Tamandua tetradactyla: one gene and its partner. The protein of the gene in region 2 purifies or fractionates together with the protein of the main gene of each other region. This does not show direct contact. Links are inferred from orthologs where the notes say so. Each region holds a gene or a part of one and is shown on either strand. Other genes may lie near its edges.

The links. The genes of interacting proteins can lie anywhere in the genome.
Region 1: the proteins of KRR1 (region 2) and NOC4L purify together in Homo sapiens (co-immunoprecipitation; 3 studies listed by BioGRID and IntAct, with this or other methods). This does not show direct contact. The link is inferred for Tamandua tetradactyla from reciprocal best matches to the Homo sapiens genes KRR1 and NOC4L.

The regions. Positions count from the first base shown.
Region 1 is NC_135331.1:1,481,432-1,489,206, reverse strand, and holds the start of NOC4L (nucleolar complex protein 4 homolog), read left to right. Parts: upstream 1-4,706; 5' UTR 4,707-4,776; coding exon 4,777-4,893; intron 4,894-5,301; coding exon 5,302-5,422; intron 5,423-6,000; coding exon 6,001-6,107; intron 6,108-6,360; coding exon 6,361-6,468; intron 6,469-6,745; coding exon 6,746-6,895; intron 6,896-6,991; coding exon 6,992-7,091; intron 7,092-7,249; coding exon 7,250-7,284; intron 7,285-7,775. Other genes in the region: ATP-dependent RNA helicase DDX51, read right to left, coding at 3,919-4,064, 4,177-4,483.
Region 2 is NC_135333.1:144,335,007-144,342,071, reverse strand, and holds the start of KRR1 (KRR1 small subunit processome component homolog), read left to right. Parts: upstream 1-3,988; 5' UTR 3,989-4,211; coding exon 4,212-4,296; intron 4,297-4,559; exon of another isoform or gene 4,560-4,629; coding exon of another isoform or gene 4,630-4,636; intron 4,637-6,809; coding exon 6,810-6,982; intron 6,983-7,065. UniProt on the Homo sapiens protein: Part of the small subunit (SSU) processome, first precursor of the small eukaryotic ribosomal subunit.

The sequences.
Region 1 (7,775 bases), on a different chromosome or scaffold from region 2:
ACTCAAAGACAAAAGATCTAACAACCCAATTTTAAAATGGGCAGAGGATATGAACAGACACTTTTCTAAAGAGCAAGTACAGATGGCTATAAAGCACATGAAAAGATGCTCATCTTCATTAGCTATAATGGAAATGCAGATCAAGACAACAACGAGATACTACCTCACACCTATAAGAATGGCTGCTATTAAACAAACAGAAAACTACAAATGCTGGACAGGACGTGGAGAAATAGGAACACTTGTCACTGGTGGTGAGAATGTGCAACGGTGCAGTCACTGTGGGAGACAGTTGGGCGATTCCTCAGAAAACTAAATACTGAGTTGCCCTATGCCAGCAATATCAATACTTGGTATATATATACCTAGAAGAGTCGAGGGCAGTGACACGAGCAGACAAGTGCTCACTGATGTTCATAGTGGCATTATTCACGATTGCCAAGAGAGGGAAACAATCCAAGTGCCCATCCACAGACGAGTGTACAAACAAAATGTGGTATATACATACAATGGAATATTATGCAGCAGTAAGATGAAATGATGTCCTGAAGCACATGACAACGTGGATGAACCTCGAGGAAATAATGCTAAGTGAAATAAGTCAGTCACAAAAGACTGATACTGATGATTTCATTATTATGAATCTAGTAAAGGTAATCTCAGAATATAGTAGAACTAGACGTATACAAAAGCTCAAGGGGGGAAAGGGACCCAGTGAGGTTGAATCTAAATGCAAGGGAACCGAGAGAAGTGATGATAACTAATTAGCAGGTTTATAAGTGACATTGCCATAGTGTAGGTGAATATGATTGAAAGGCAATAAATAATGCCACGTATTCCAATGATTAAATTTACAATTATAAATAAATCCTCACATGAAGTATTTCAATAGTTCCATAGTGGACAAAAAATCAAGATTAGAGGGATAAAGGGGAGAAACTACAAATGCATGCTATGCCCAATAATTAACAGGAAGACATCAATAGTACCAGAGTAATACCAGGGCAACTCACTGGGGTGGGGAGGCGTGGGGACAAGAGGTAAGGGTTAGTTTTGATTCGACAGTTGGTGACGTTATGTTTGCCAGTTCTTTTTCATTATGGACCAATGACAACTGTTTAAAATTGAAAGTGCTGCTGATTACACAACCAAATGAAGATACTGTAAGATACGGTTTATTTATTTTGAACATTATCCATGATACCCAAAAGATGGCAAAGGCTCCACTGACTGAGGAAGCACAGTGGTGGATGGTGGGTGATACATCTGTCTATATGATGGAATTTGGCGCGGCTACAAAAAGGAGGGACATTGGGGCACACGGTGAGCTGAATAAACCTTGGGGACAACGTGCTTTGCAAAATAAACCAAACAAAAGAACAAATAAGCTGAAGTCTCTCTCAGAAAAAATTAAAAAGAAAAAAGAATTCCAAATTGGGGAATTCCCTCAGAAGTTCACAGTGACCAAGTCATCTATTTTATAGGACAAATTATGAAAACAATATGCAAAATATGACCTATTTCACAACATCCTCATTGTACCTATCAACCACAATCCTAAGGCTTAAACAGAAAGAACCAAAGGTGTAATTAAAACTCAATGAGCTGAATTCATGGAAATCTTCAATCTACCATGGCCAAAAGCTTTACCTATAGTTTTACTACATCTAAGATCCACTTCTTTTGGAAAACATAAGCTATCCCCATTTAAAATTATAACAGGAGACCTAAGAAAATAAATTCTGGAATATATGAGCCTTGCCTCATAAAAGGAAATATGCTAACCTGGTTGTCAAGAACTAACCAAAACCTTAAAGAAAAACGAAACCCTAGTCAAACTATCTTTTACAGCATGCTGAAAAAGATGTTCAAAACTGTAATCATCAGCCTGGTGACTTCACATATAGGAAAAGATACCTCCAGATGTCTCTTAAAGACGCACTCCAACCTTGCTGGATGGGGCCCTGTCAGGTACTTTAACTAACCCATGTGTAGCTTAAATTAGACGGCACTGATTGTTGGATTCATACTTCTCATTTACAGAAAACCTCCCAGCCCTGCCTGAAATCCATTCCTACTAGGGACCTAAAGCTTGAAATGACCAAGGATGAGAAGCTGATGGTATCTAATGCAGACAGCTATCCCAAGGCCTGGGACCAGGACTGTGTAATTAATACTTTATCAGTGATCTCAGACTTAAGTTACCCAGAAGTACAACACATCTGTTATGATCCGCTAGCCCAGGAACCAGGACCGGACCTCATGTTCATCAGATTGAACGAACTCGATGATGCTACTATACCCTCCTATTAGCCTAGTAGCTCTCTTCTTTGCATTTCTATTCCTCCCCTCTCCCCACCTTCTTTGTACCCCAGTCCATATCTGTCTCTCCCGCAATGAATCCTACCCCTTGAAACTTCTCATTCTCACCCTCTTCTTTCCTGTTCATTGCCATTCATCCTTTTATCCCAGCCATATTAAGTGCTGCTGACCTAGCGATCCTATCAAATTGCTGGGACTATGCTAACTTAGAGTCCACAGAAGGGCCTCAGTTATTAGCCACACTCACAGTCACTTATTTAACTGGCCAAATCTTAGATCTCGAGGAAATTAGGTATGTAACATATTTTAAACCCTGTAATCTGTTTTATTTTATAGTCGTTATGATGTCTCATTCACCATCTCATCTCTAACAACCACCTCCTGAGTTATGCTAATCAGTAAAAGCTTTGAGCGTAAAGCTTCCTTACTTATAAAACTTATTTCTGTAATGATAAGACTAAGCCTAGTTCTAACTAATGCCTAAGAGTCACCCCCTGACAACTTCCTTGTTGCGCAAATGTGCCCCACCCCCACCCCCCACTCATACACAAGCCAAACTGCAAACAAACTCACTACCTTCCTTCCACTTCGGGGGGACACGACTCCCAAGGATGAGCTTCCTCGGCGCTGAGGGATTAATACCAAATGTTGATTGGCGATGCTTTTAGAGAAAGATGCTGATCAAAAAGGAGAAATATTAAAAGAAATAAACCAAAATAGAGTTTCCATGGCTAAGGGATTTAAAATGGAGCCAAGAGATCATTCTAGAAGTTACTCTTATGCAGGTCTCAGCCAGAGGTCACAAACTACCAAAGTATGCAATGCCTCAAGCAACAGTGTTCCTCAAAACCCCAAGGACAACTGAACCATAAACTAAATCACAATATAAAAAACTCCATTAAGTATCACACCTGAAGGACAACCAGAGTACCCCAAATATCCACCAACCACAAACAACTTGTGTAACCTTTTTCTTAAAAAACCCTTGCCTAAAAATGTCAAGACAGACACAATTTGGGTTGCTACCTGAATCTGTGCTCCCCGAATTCCAATTCTAAGACCCTTAATAAATGCCATTGTTGTCTTGCAGCTTAGTTTGACATTTTTTAGACAAATGCATGCATTCCTCCTTTCCTGAAACTCTCAAGGGGTAAAGCCACCCTTATGAAAGTGCAACTGTCATTGTGAAGCAAGCAGAAGCACACGTATCAAGTAAACAGAACTATTAAAATTTAGGAAGATCTCTGCAACTGAAGTGTAGGCTGCAGCTAATTTGACAGGACGGTTGGAGAAGGAAAACCTTAAAAGGTAAGACAGAAAAGGCTGGGCACAGATTCCGAAGCACTAGGGAGATAAGCACTTGGTATTATGGGCAGTTCAGTCGCAACTCCCTAACCTGTAAAGCTTTCAAGTGAGAGACACTTAAGGAACGGCGTGCGCAGGTGCCGTTCTCCCAGCTGCTCGTTTACCATCAGAACGCCTCGGCCCCTGCAGCTTTCCCAATCGCGCCCAGGTGGAAGCGCACGCGGTGGCGGCGGCGGCGGCCCAGCGGCCTTCCCCGCCCGCCCGCCGGTGCGCACCGTCGGAGCCGCTCACCTTCGTCGCCTTCCTCTTCCCGAAGCCCCCAAGCACCAGGGCATGGGCTGGCGGCCCAGATGCCTCACCCGGGGGGCCTCCGCCTCGGGCCTCCGCCGCCACCGGTGCCTCCGTAGGACTCTCCTCTGGCGTCCCGTCACTATACGCTGCGCGACAGAGAAGGGGCCAGGCCCGAGGGTCAAGCCGTTCCGGACTCGGGCCTCCCAGGGGTCGGTCCTGCTCCAGAGGCGACCTGCCCCGCCGCCGGCCCGGTCTCACCTGCGTCGGCGTCCTCGGCGTCCGCTCTCTGCCGCTTCTTTCGCGGCGCGTCTGCGGTCCCCGTCCCCACGCTGCTCACTCGCCGCCGCCGCCGCCGCGGCCTCCGCCGCCGCTTCCCCGCCGCGGCCTCCGCTGCCTGCGCCGCCGCCTCGGGAGGCGGACTTTCCTGCCTCTGCTGCCGCTGCTGCCGTTCGCGGGCCCGACACTGCAGCCGCTCCAACAGCGCGCGGGCCCGGCCCACCGACTCTGCCGGCGCGGGCCACGCTGCCTCGGGCCCCACATACCGGGCGACGTGAAAGAGGGCCATGGCCGGCCGGGTGCCCGGGACTCCGCACCGAACCTGACGTCACGTGCGCGCCGGGCGGCTTCTGTGGCGGCGGCGACCGGGAGCCGGCAGAGGCACACGGCGGTGACGTCACGCGCGCGCCGGCGGGGAGCCGACAGAGGCACACGGCGTTGACGTCACGCGCGCGCCGGCGGGGAGCCGGCAGAGGCACACGGCGGTGACGTCACGCGCGCGCCGGCGGCGAGGCTGTCGGGACGGTGACGTCTCGCGTGCGGCGTGGTCCCGGAGACTCCTCTTGGGTTGGCGGCGGCGGCATGGAGCGGGATCCCGGCACCGGGTCCGTGGGCCGGGCTCTGGGCCGCCTGCTGGAGGCGGTGCTGGCGAGCCGCGGCGAGGCCAACGCGGTGTTCGACATCTTGGCCGCGCTGCAGGTGCGTCGGGTTGGAGGCGGGCGCGGCGGGCGGGCGACCCGGACGGCCAGGAGTCGTGGGGTCTGGCGGCTCCGGTGTCTGGGCCCGCGATCGGGACGCATGCACTCCTGTGCGGGGTCCACATTGGGGCTGGGGCTGCGGGGGTTCTGAGGCCTGGACTGGGCGGGGTGCCAGAGTGGGGGACCCCTCGGGTTCCCGCGAGCGGTTGCGGCGTCAGGTTCCGGGCAAGGTCGGGTAGGGGGCAGTTCTAAAGTGCGGCTTGGGGATCAGAGAATCCCCCGGAGATTTGAGAGGCTGGGCTGTGGGATGTGTCCGGGAAGCTTGGGAGGATGGGCCCGATGTGAGTGGCGGCTCAGTGGGGCCGGGGTAGGGTCTAGCCAGGCGCCTTGTGACTGTGTCTCCCTGTAGTCCAAGGACCAGGAGGACGTCCAGGAAGCAGTGCGCACGTGCAGCCGTCTCTTCGGGGCCTTGCTGGAGCGGGGAGAGCTGTTTGTGGGCAGGCTGCCCTCTGAGGAGCTGGTCATGGCAGGTACCCCAGGCACTCTCGGGGGTAGGGGGTGACTTTGTCCATGAGGGGTGAGTGCCCCAAATTCCCTTTGTAGGGCCAGCAGGCTTGTGGGAAGGGGCTGGTTCTGTCATCCTCCGGTGGGGGGGGGGGGGGGGGGTGTAACACAGATACTTCCATAGCCAGGTTTGAGTATTGAAAACGTTTGCCTTATTCCTTGCGTTTTGTACACTCGTGTGATTTGAGGCTGTGTAACACTGACGTTCCGATCCTTGAAAATCTAGGTTTGGGGGTAAAAGGAAGGGATGAGATACCGTGCCTTTGGGGGCTTGCCTGGGTACAGTGCCAGGGCAGGAGCTGCTCTCCCTGTTTGCAGGGCTGAGGCAGCCTCTGGGGAGAGTCAGGCCCAGTCAGCCTAGTGCCAAAGGTCTAGCCTGTCTCCAGGTTTGGGGGCCCTGCTGACTTGTTTTACTGATCCGGCTGATCCTGTAGATGGCACCAGCTACATTGGGGGTGCCAGATGAAGGGTGGTTTGGGCCTGGGCTGGGCCCAGCCTGGCACATGTGGCCATAGTATGGCTGACCACACTGCCTCATCTGCAGGGTCTCAGGGAGCCACACGCAAGTACAAGATGTGGATGAGGCACCGCTATCACAGCTGCTGCAACCGCCTGGGGGAGCTCCTGGCCCACCCCTCCTTTCAGGTCAAGGTGAGTCTTGGATCTTTGGGCCCATCCTGCATCCCACCCCCACACCGAAGCAGAGGCTTGGAACCCTGCAGAGGCCACAGAGGTGACACAACTTGCTCATGAACACATGACTGGTGGAGTAAGGGTTTGCATCCATCTTCTCTCACTCACGCCCTGGCCCAGTCATGGGGGCTCCGTGGCTGGACCGGCTGTTTGGGGCCTGGTCTGTGGGTGGGAGGGGGCTCCCTGGCTGACAGGCACTCCTTCCTCCCAGGAGCTCGCCCTTGGAACGCTCATGAAATTTGTGCAGCTGGAAGGAAAGCACCCCTTGGAGAAACCCAAGTGGGAGGGCCAGTACCTGTTCCCCCGAGAGGTCTTCAAGGTGAGGGGCTGGGCAGGAGCAAGCCACAAGCTGCTCGGGTCAGTCCCTGGCTGGCCTTGAACCGAGCAAATGGTTGTTGGATGGGATGGTTCTGCCTTGGCCAGGACCCCTATGTGGGGTCTCCTCAGGCAGTATCTTAGTGGTGAGGTGGGATTTTCCTGCCCAGGGCTCTGACCGCGCTCCCAAATTGTCCTCTGAGCCCTCGCCCTGTTCTGCTCCCTGGGCTGGGGCCCATGCACGGTGGGGAGAGTGCTCACCTGCTGTGCCCTGTACCCAGCTGGTGGTGGAAGGCCTGCTCCCCCCCGGGGAGGACAGTGCCCTGCTGCTCTCCCAGTTCCGGGAGTTCCTGGAATACGACGACATACGCTACCACACAATGCAGGCGGCTGTGGACACCATGGCCAGGGTCGCTGACAGGCACCCCGAGGTCAGTGGGCTGAGTTTGATCTCCCGGTGTGGGGAATGGGGGGGTAAACGAGGAGGGGTGCAGCCTCCCAGTGCTCAGGCCAGTCGTCCCCTGCAGGTGCCCCTCCCTTTCTGGAACAATGCCTTTGCACTGCTGTCTGCCGTGAGCCTGCCTCTCCAGGAGAGCCGCACCTGCAGTTTCTACGTGAAGCACGTAGGTAAGTGTCCAGGCAGTGCAGGGAGCCTGGCCTGGGCCTAACCCTGCAGGAGAGGCTGGGGACCACTACCACACCCCGTCAGCCCTGCTGGGGCCCAAGTGGTGATCCCCTCCCACCCTCCATGCAGGCAGTAATCCTTCTCACCCCCTTTCACGCAGAGCCCTCGGACAAGTGGAAAGTGACCCATCTGAAGGTGAGCAGTTCTGGAGGGGCCAGCAGCCTCTGCCTGCCTGGACAAGATCTCCAGCCCAGGCTGAGTCATGCTGGCTTGCAGGAGGACTGCCACCTCCTGCCCCTGCACAGAAAACTCCCAGGCAGGGGCCACGGTTGGAGTTACCAGCAGGGCCCCCAGGAAGATGTGGGGGGGGCCAATGGCAGTCACCTGCGGTCCTGGGCATCTGCAGGAGTGGCCCCGAGGGAACTGCTTCCCTCACGGCTGTAAACCCACTGTGCCACCTCACCTGCTGCAGCCCCTGTAGGGTGGGGTCTCCTTGACTTCCTGAGGTAGGGAGTGGGGCCTAGACTTCCAAAGTCAAATGTGGAATTCTTCCAGTTCAAAGGGCCCGAGAAGCTCCTCCCTAAGCCTGGGAAGGAAGGGGAGGGGTACCAGGTGCAGTGGAAGGGGTGCTGCTGCTGTCCCCCCACTGGGGCTCGGCTCCACCACCCCCTTACCAGCTCTGTGTG
Region 2 (7,065 bases):
TTGCTCATTATATACTTGGAGGAACTGAGTGTGGGGACATGAATGGACATTTGCACAATAGGGTTTATGGTGGCAGTGTTCATGATCCACAAGTAATGGAGATAGCCTAAGGGTACAACAACTGAGGAAGGAAAGGGCAACCAAACTGTGGTGTATACATACAATGGACTACTGAGCAGCCCCAAGAAAGAATGACATTATGAGGTAGGCAACTAGGTATATGAACCTTAAGGACTGTATGTTGAATGAAATGTCAGAAACAAAAAGTCAAATATTATCATGCCTCACTCATATGGACTTCATCCTGTACTCCTCTATCACATGGTGGCCAGCCTCTCCCGGCCTCATCCTTCTCTTCTGGTTTCTGTTGGATTTCGGGTTCTGGCTGCTCCCTCTATGACTTTTCTCTCCCTGAATTTCATTCTGCTTTTAAAGGACTCCAGTACTGGGATGAAGGTACCTCCTCATTGAGGTGGGCCACACCTTAACTGAAGTAACCTCATCAAAAAATCTGACAATATGTTCATGCCCACAGCAATGGATTAAGTTAAAGAACATGTTCTTATCTGAGGTACATAGATCCAAATATACCTATACTGTGTAAAGAGTAAAAAAGTATGAAAAGAGGGTAGGGAAGAATGAAATGGAAGCAGAGAAGCATAGACTGGAAAATTAATGGAAATTTTGACATGGGATCAGTCAGTAGTTTAATATGTATGTTGAACTAATCATTTGACTCCCATAGATTAAAATATATTCATTTATAAAATGAGTGTTGGATTAGATGATTAAGTTAACAACAAATCCTAATTTTCTTCCATCCTAAGAATTAGTAAAACTAAACAAAAAATATTAACTTTGAATTTTTGATTCAGAGGTGTGTGTATGTGTGTGTTTGAAAGTGGTATGCTCTATATGTGCAAATACATTTGTCTTCTTAAGAAAAATATGCTTAATTTACAAAGTACATTTTGCAAGTATCCTGTAGGTTTGAAATGGTGCAATAAAGTTATAGTAAATACATAACATTAAAATAGCTTGTGATACACTGGAGAAAAAGGTATCAATAAAAATCACATTGTAGAGCACATATGGTAATACTACAAAAAGATTCATAATTTTAAAAGTATAACAATTTTTTCAAGATGTTTCATTTTCTTATTCTGATTTGCTCTCTTCTATTGGTTAGTCTGTTAATTCTAACCAAAAAGCCAGGAAGTTTTTAATGGGCTGATATGAAATGGATTTTATTAATTCAACCCTCTATAAGCATTCTCATGCATCATTAACATTATACACTGCAAGGTACTGCTTTCCTTAAATTGCAGATCTTCAGATACAAATTTGAGATTGTAGTAAATAATTGACTAGTGAATGAACACTTGTAGTATGTGCACAGATGAGTTGTATGAAGTCTTTAATTAGGATATACATCTTAAAATGGCTCATTAAATCACAGAACACAAAAAAGCCATTGGAATTTGAATGATTTAAGGAGTGTGATCAGAATTTGATGAAACTACAATGTGAAATATTTAATTTTGATATTTCAAGTTCATTAGAATTATATCTCTATTGAGTATTCTAAATGTCCTATATACATTAGGCAAATATAATAACATTTAATTAAGAAGTTCTATACTGTTGTAATATCCTTTGGAATAGCAAAGAATGTGACTAATAAAATTGAATGATCATTTCCAAAAAAAAAAAAAAAAAAGAGTATGTATGGTTCTAAAATATAGATACTGTCTTCCTTATCCCTGTGTTCTGAATTACTTTAACCCCAACCTGTTTGGCTTCATTCTTATCTCTAAAAATCAGGTTATATATATATAAAACAGCCTCTCAAAATCCAGAAATAATATTCACCACTCTGGACTTAATGTGTTTGCTCTAAAAGCTTACAATCTAGGACCCTGTTTTCTCATAAGCATTTTATATAGGTGACCATACCATTGTTATTTTTTTGTTTCTGGCTTATTTTGTCTCACCAAATGTCCCACATGTTCATTCACATCATTGCATGCCTCACAACAGTGTTCCTTTCTGTAGCAGCACAACTTTCATTCACATGTATACACCATTGTTCACCAATCTACTTCTCAGTCAGTGCATCCTAAGCCACCTGCATTCACTGGGCATCATGTAGTGGTCCCAAAGTCCACAGTCCATCAACAGTCTAAATTTTAGATAATTTCAATGTTCCTTTATGCTGGTCATAAAAGTGGAATCATAGAGTATCTGTCCTTTCATGTCTGGCTAATTTTGCTCAGCATTATGTCCTCAAGGCTCATCCATTTTGTCATGTGCCTCAGGATGTCAGTTTGTCTTACTTCTGCATAATATTCCATCATATGTATGTATATACCACGCTTGGTTGACCTACTCATCTGTTGATGGGCATTTCCCTACATTTTCTTCTAGAAGTTTTATGGTGCTGGTTCTTATATTTAGGTGTTTGATCCACTTTGAGTTAATTTTTGTGTAGCGTGTAAGATAGGGGTCCTCTTTCATTCTTTTGGCTATTGATATCCACTTCTTCCAGGTGGTAACATTTTAAGCTAAGTGTAATTAACAGCATCAAACTATGCATGTGATTGTGGCTGAAAGAGAAAGGTTAGAGTTGTGTATGTCACTAGAAGGAAAGCTAGAGGAAAAACATGGGACTGTATAACACAGTGAACCTTGTGGTGGATAATGACTGTAATTAATAGTACAAGTATGAAAATGTTCCTTAATGAACATTTAAATTGTTCAATAACAAATATACATCATATTTCAAGGATTTAATAACAGTGGAATATGAAGAAAATGCATCTATTGTAAACTATGGACTACAGTTAATAGTAATATTTTAATATTCTTTCATCAATAATGAAAGTATCACACCAATGCTAGGGGTCAATAAAAGGGATGGGGATAAGGGGTATTGGATGTTTTGGTGTTTTTGTTTTGTAGTAATGAAAACGTTCTAAAATTGATCGTGATGATGAATGCGATGTGATGATACTGTGAGTCATTGATTTTTATACTTTGGATGGATTGTATGGTGTGTGGATGTATCTCAATAAAACTATGCACAAAAAAAGAGTGCAGTTTTAATTACTATTCATGTCTTAGAAAGAGAAATATCAGAAATAACGATTTTGAAATCTTGCCTTCCACAAAATACACAGGGTTTGTTTCTTCTAATTTTGTTTTTGTTTTAAAGACTAAAAATAATGTAAAAAAAAAAGTGCGCATCATAAAGTAGTCACACAATAAATGGTAGCTACACATTGTGAAAATAGAATGGTTAATAGTTTCACTAATCAACTTGATATGTTTAAAGTTCTTTTTATCCAGGGAACTACAAAGAAGAAACAGAACAACTGAGTCAGGTTGACATACCAACAATCTTTCATTGTCCTAAAACCTCTGCCCCTTCAGAGAAGAAACAAGTCATGCTGACCTCAACAAACTTGCTTATCTTCACTGGATAGCTCCGCTGCTGCAAAGACATCCTGCCTGTCCAAGTTGCAAAATTAATGAAACATGGCCCAAGGACACCCTGTGCCAGGCAACTCGCGTAGCTCACTCTTTCTTGCTCCCCCTCTCCATTCCCATACGCTCCTTTTGTTCCTAGCAGCCACATATACTGTCTGCCCAAAATTGCCTTTTAATCGGTAACCTTTTGTTGCTGTTGTGCATTAAAGCTACTTAAGTTCAATGAACTTCTATACTTTGGTTTTCAGAGTCTGTTTCTAGCAAAACACTGTCCCTTCTTGAGGACGAGGAGCACATATTTTGTACCCCCTCCAAAGGCCCAGTACATAGTCAGCAATCATACAAATATTTATTAAATGAAAGGATGAATGAATGAAATGAGTCCTACACTGTTTTCAATCCGTGGCCAAACTCTGGAGCCTCGCGCTGCCAGTTAAGACTGACGCTAACTAGTCCACAGTACTAAACTACAATTCCCAGCATGCAGTCAAACTCCGTTGTCGCAGTGCATCTTGGGAACGAAGTCTCCAGCTCTCCATTGGCCAAGTTGCAGAAGCGGACTTGTTTGTGGAAATGCGCGGGGTCTAGCGAACACTCGCACGGAGACTGCGCAGATCTTCTCCTCACCTGAGTTTCACGGACTTGATTTTGAATAGTCAGGAGTTTAGCCGGTAGGATTTAAGAGGAGTTCAACTTCCGGGGTCACAGGAAGCAATTTAAAGATGGCGTCTTCCTCGGTAAATGGGTCAGCTACAACGTCTGGGAGATCTGAATTTCGAAACCAGAAGCTGAAGCCGGAGGACCGAGGTGAGATTGTATGTAAGGGTGAAGTTTGGAGTCTGTGGGCGTTGAGCTGCGATTTTTTTTTCTTTTGCTGAGTGAGCATTGTATAGTTGCCTTCGGTCTGTTCTGTGGGATCGAGAACCTTGGAATACTGATGATTGGGGAACTGGCTGGGTCCACAGAAACGATTGAGATGGCCGGTGTGGTGCCTCCACGTGTACCTAACTCGTTGCTTTTGTTAGCTATCCGCCATAGTGAAGGTGGTGAATTCTTTCTCCTGTAAAAAGGTCAAGACAAGAACTGCGGAGGGCACTACGGGAGTTTACAGCGCGACGGTGGCTGGAGGTCGTGGACAGCATGAAGGGTGGGTCCTTCTGTGTGGGAATGAACGATCGTGATTGAAGGAGACAGACAAGGATATGGGGAAGGAGATGTCTGGCGTGTTCTCAGCTCTGCTTTATCAACCACTGAAGAAATTTGGAACATTTATCATTCCATTAAATCGTTTATCAGATTGCTAAAACATTAGACCTCGGAACTTCTACTCTTAAGACTGCCCCACTTTTCATTTGTTCTTCTGCTTGTAGTCTTGTTATATATATATATATTTGTATGAGTTACAGGGGGAGTGGCTAGAGAAGTAGCCCGGGTCCTACTCAGGTAGGCTTATAGGTTAAAGACCTTGGACTCTCATTCTAGGGATATTGGAGATATAGTAAAAGCTTTGTTCGGTTGTTGCTGCTTTTTGTTTTTTCTCTAAGTATAATATCCGTGGCAGAGAGTTCAGTACATTTATTTGTGAAACAGTAAAACGAACACGTTGAGATACCAGCAGCTACTCCCTTAAGTAGAACGGTAGACTACTACCATAGCCTAAAAAAGCCCACCGTGTGCACCTCCCAGATCACATTCTTTTCCTTTCCGGGACTAGAAGTAACCATTCTTTGAGTCGTACTGGTCATTCTCTTGCTTGTCTTCATAATTTACTTCATAATCTACTAAAAAAAATTGGTTTTCTTTGTTTTTAAATTGTTTCTGAATGAAAGGAGACTGTATGCTTTCTCCTGCGTCTTGCTTCTTAGGCTTAACTTTGTTTCTGCTGCTCAACCAGGACTATACCTGTAATTAGTTATTTTACTTATGGTATCCTGTTCTCTTGAGTGGGTATACCCTTCATTCTATCATTGGTGGCCATTTAGATTGTTTACATGGTTATTATAAACAGTGCGGCTGTTTATACAGTGTAAAACTGTCTCCTGGTACATATATTCTAGAGTCTCTCTAGGTTGTATACCTGCGAGTAGAATCTCTGGAGTGTAGGGTATTTGCAGGTAATGCTAAATCTTTTCCAAAGAGGTTGCAACAGTTTACACAATTTACTGGCAGTGATGAGACTTCCCATTACTCCACATCCTCAGTAAAACTTGATATTATCTGAATTTTGAATTTCTGTCATTTTGGTAAGTATGAAATGGTATTTGTTTACTTTTGTTTTTGTATGCTGTATGGCAGGGTCATGTTTCATTACTTTTCCCTGTGAGTATCCCGTTATTGCAGCACCATTTGCTGAATTTGTATTTGTGTTTGTTTTGCTTGTTAGTTTGTTTTTGGGGCAGTGCGTGGGCCCAGAATTGATCCCGGATATCCTGCATGGCAGGCAAGAATTTTACCACTGAACTACCTTTGCACCCCATTTGATTGAAATTTCAATTTGACCTTTCTTGATTTTTATTAAAGTTGTGCATCGTTTCATATACTTTAGGCTATTTATGCTTTCTCTATTGTGTAGTTCTTGTTTCTTTTGCCAGGTTTTTAGGGGGTGGGTTATGCATATTTTTCTTATTGATGCATAACCAATTGACATGCTTTAATTAGGTAGATAAATTACTTAAATTAAGTTACAGCTTTTTTGAATATTGCGTTTTTTAGAGTACTGGGTTGTGAATGGTATATGTGTAGACAAACTAATTTTCTGTGATTTGAACCAGAAATAGCAAAGTGGATGTGTGTACAAGAGACGGAAAGCACATTATGTTTACTCAATTAAAGTAGATAACATAGGTTAAAGCCCTGCCTCTTAAACTTTCCTGTACATACGAAGCTCTTGACTAGATTGTTAAAACACAGATTACCTAGAGATTTTGATTTGGTAATCTATGGTAGGGTCAAGAATTGCATGGCTTTTAAGTTCCCAGTTGATGCTGATGATAAAGGACTATAGATCATACTTTTGAGTAGTACTGGATTAGAGTTGTTGGATTCAAGACATTCTTAAAATCCAGGTCCAGGAGTTTTAGTAAATGATGTGGGAGATAATTTATGGCATATACCAAATGATACGGATACAAGGAATTTAGTTTTAGGTGACTGAAATGTATACAGATACTTTTAAATACTATGTGGATGATAATGACTGAGATATGTATTTTGTTGAATAATATAAAAAGGGAGGGGAAAGAAATCCAAGTTTGGGGAAACTTTTGAAAATTGTTCAAATAACCCTTAAAATGTGATATGTGAATTTTCCCCCTCTCTAGATGAATCAGAACTCCTCACTGTTCCTGATGGTTGGAAGGAACCAGCCTTTTCCAAAGAGGATAATCCCAGAGGACTCTTGGAGGAAAGCAGTTTTGCAACTTTGTTCCCAAAATATAGGGAGGCTTACTTGAAAGAATGCTGGCCATTGGTGCAGAAAGCCTTGAATGAACATGTATGCATATTTTATTAATTTCTTTGAAATTTTTGCTCTTGCTTATGCCTTTATTTTAAGTAAGTGTGTGCTAATGGAATTTT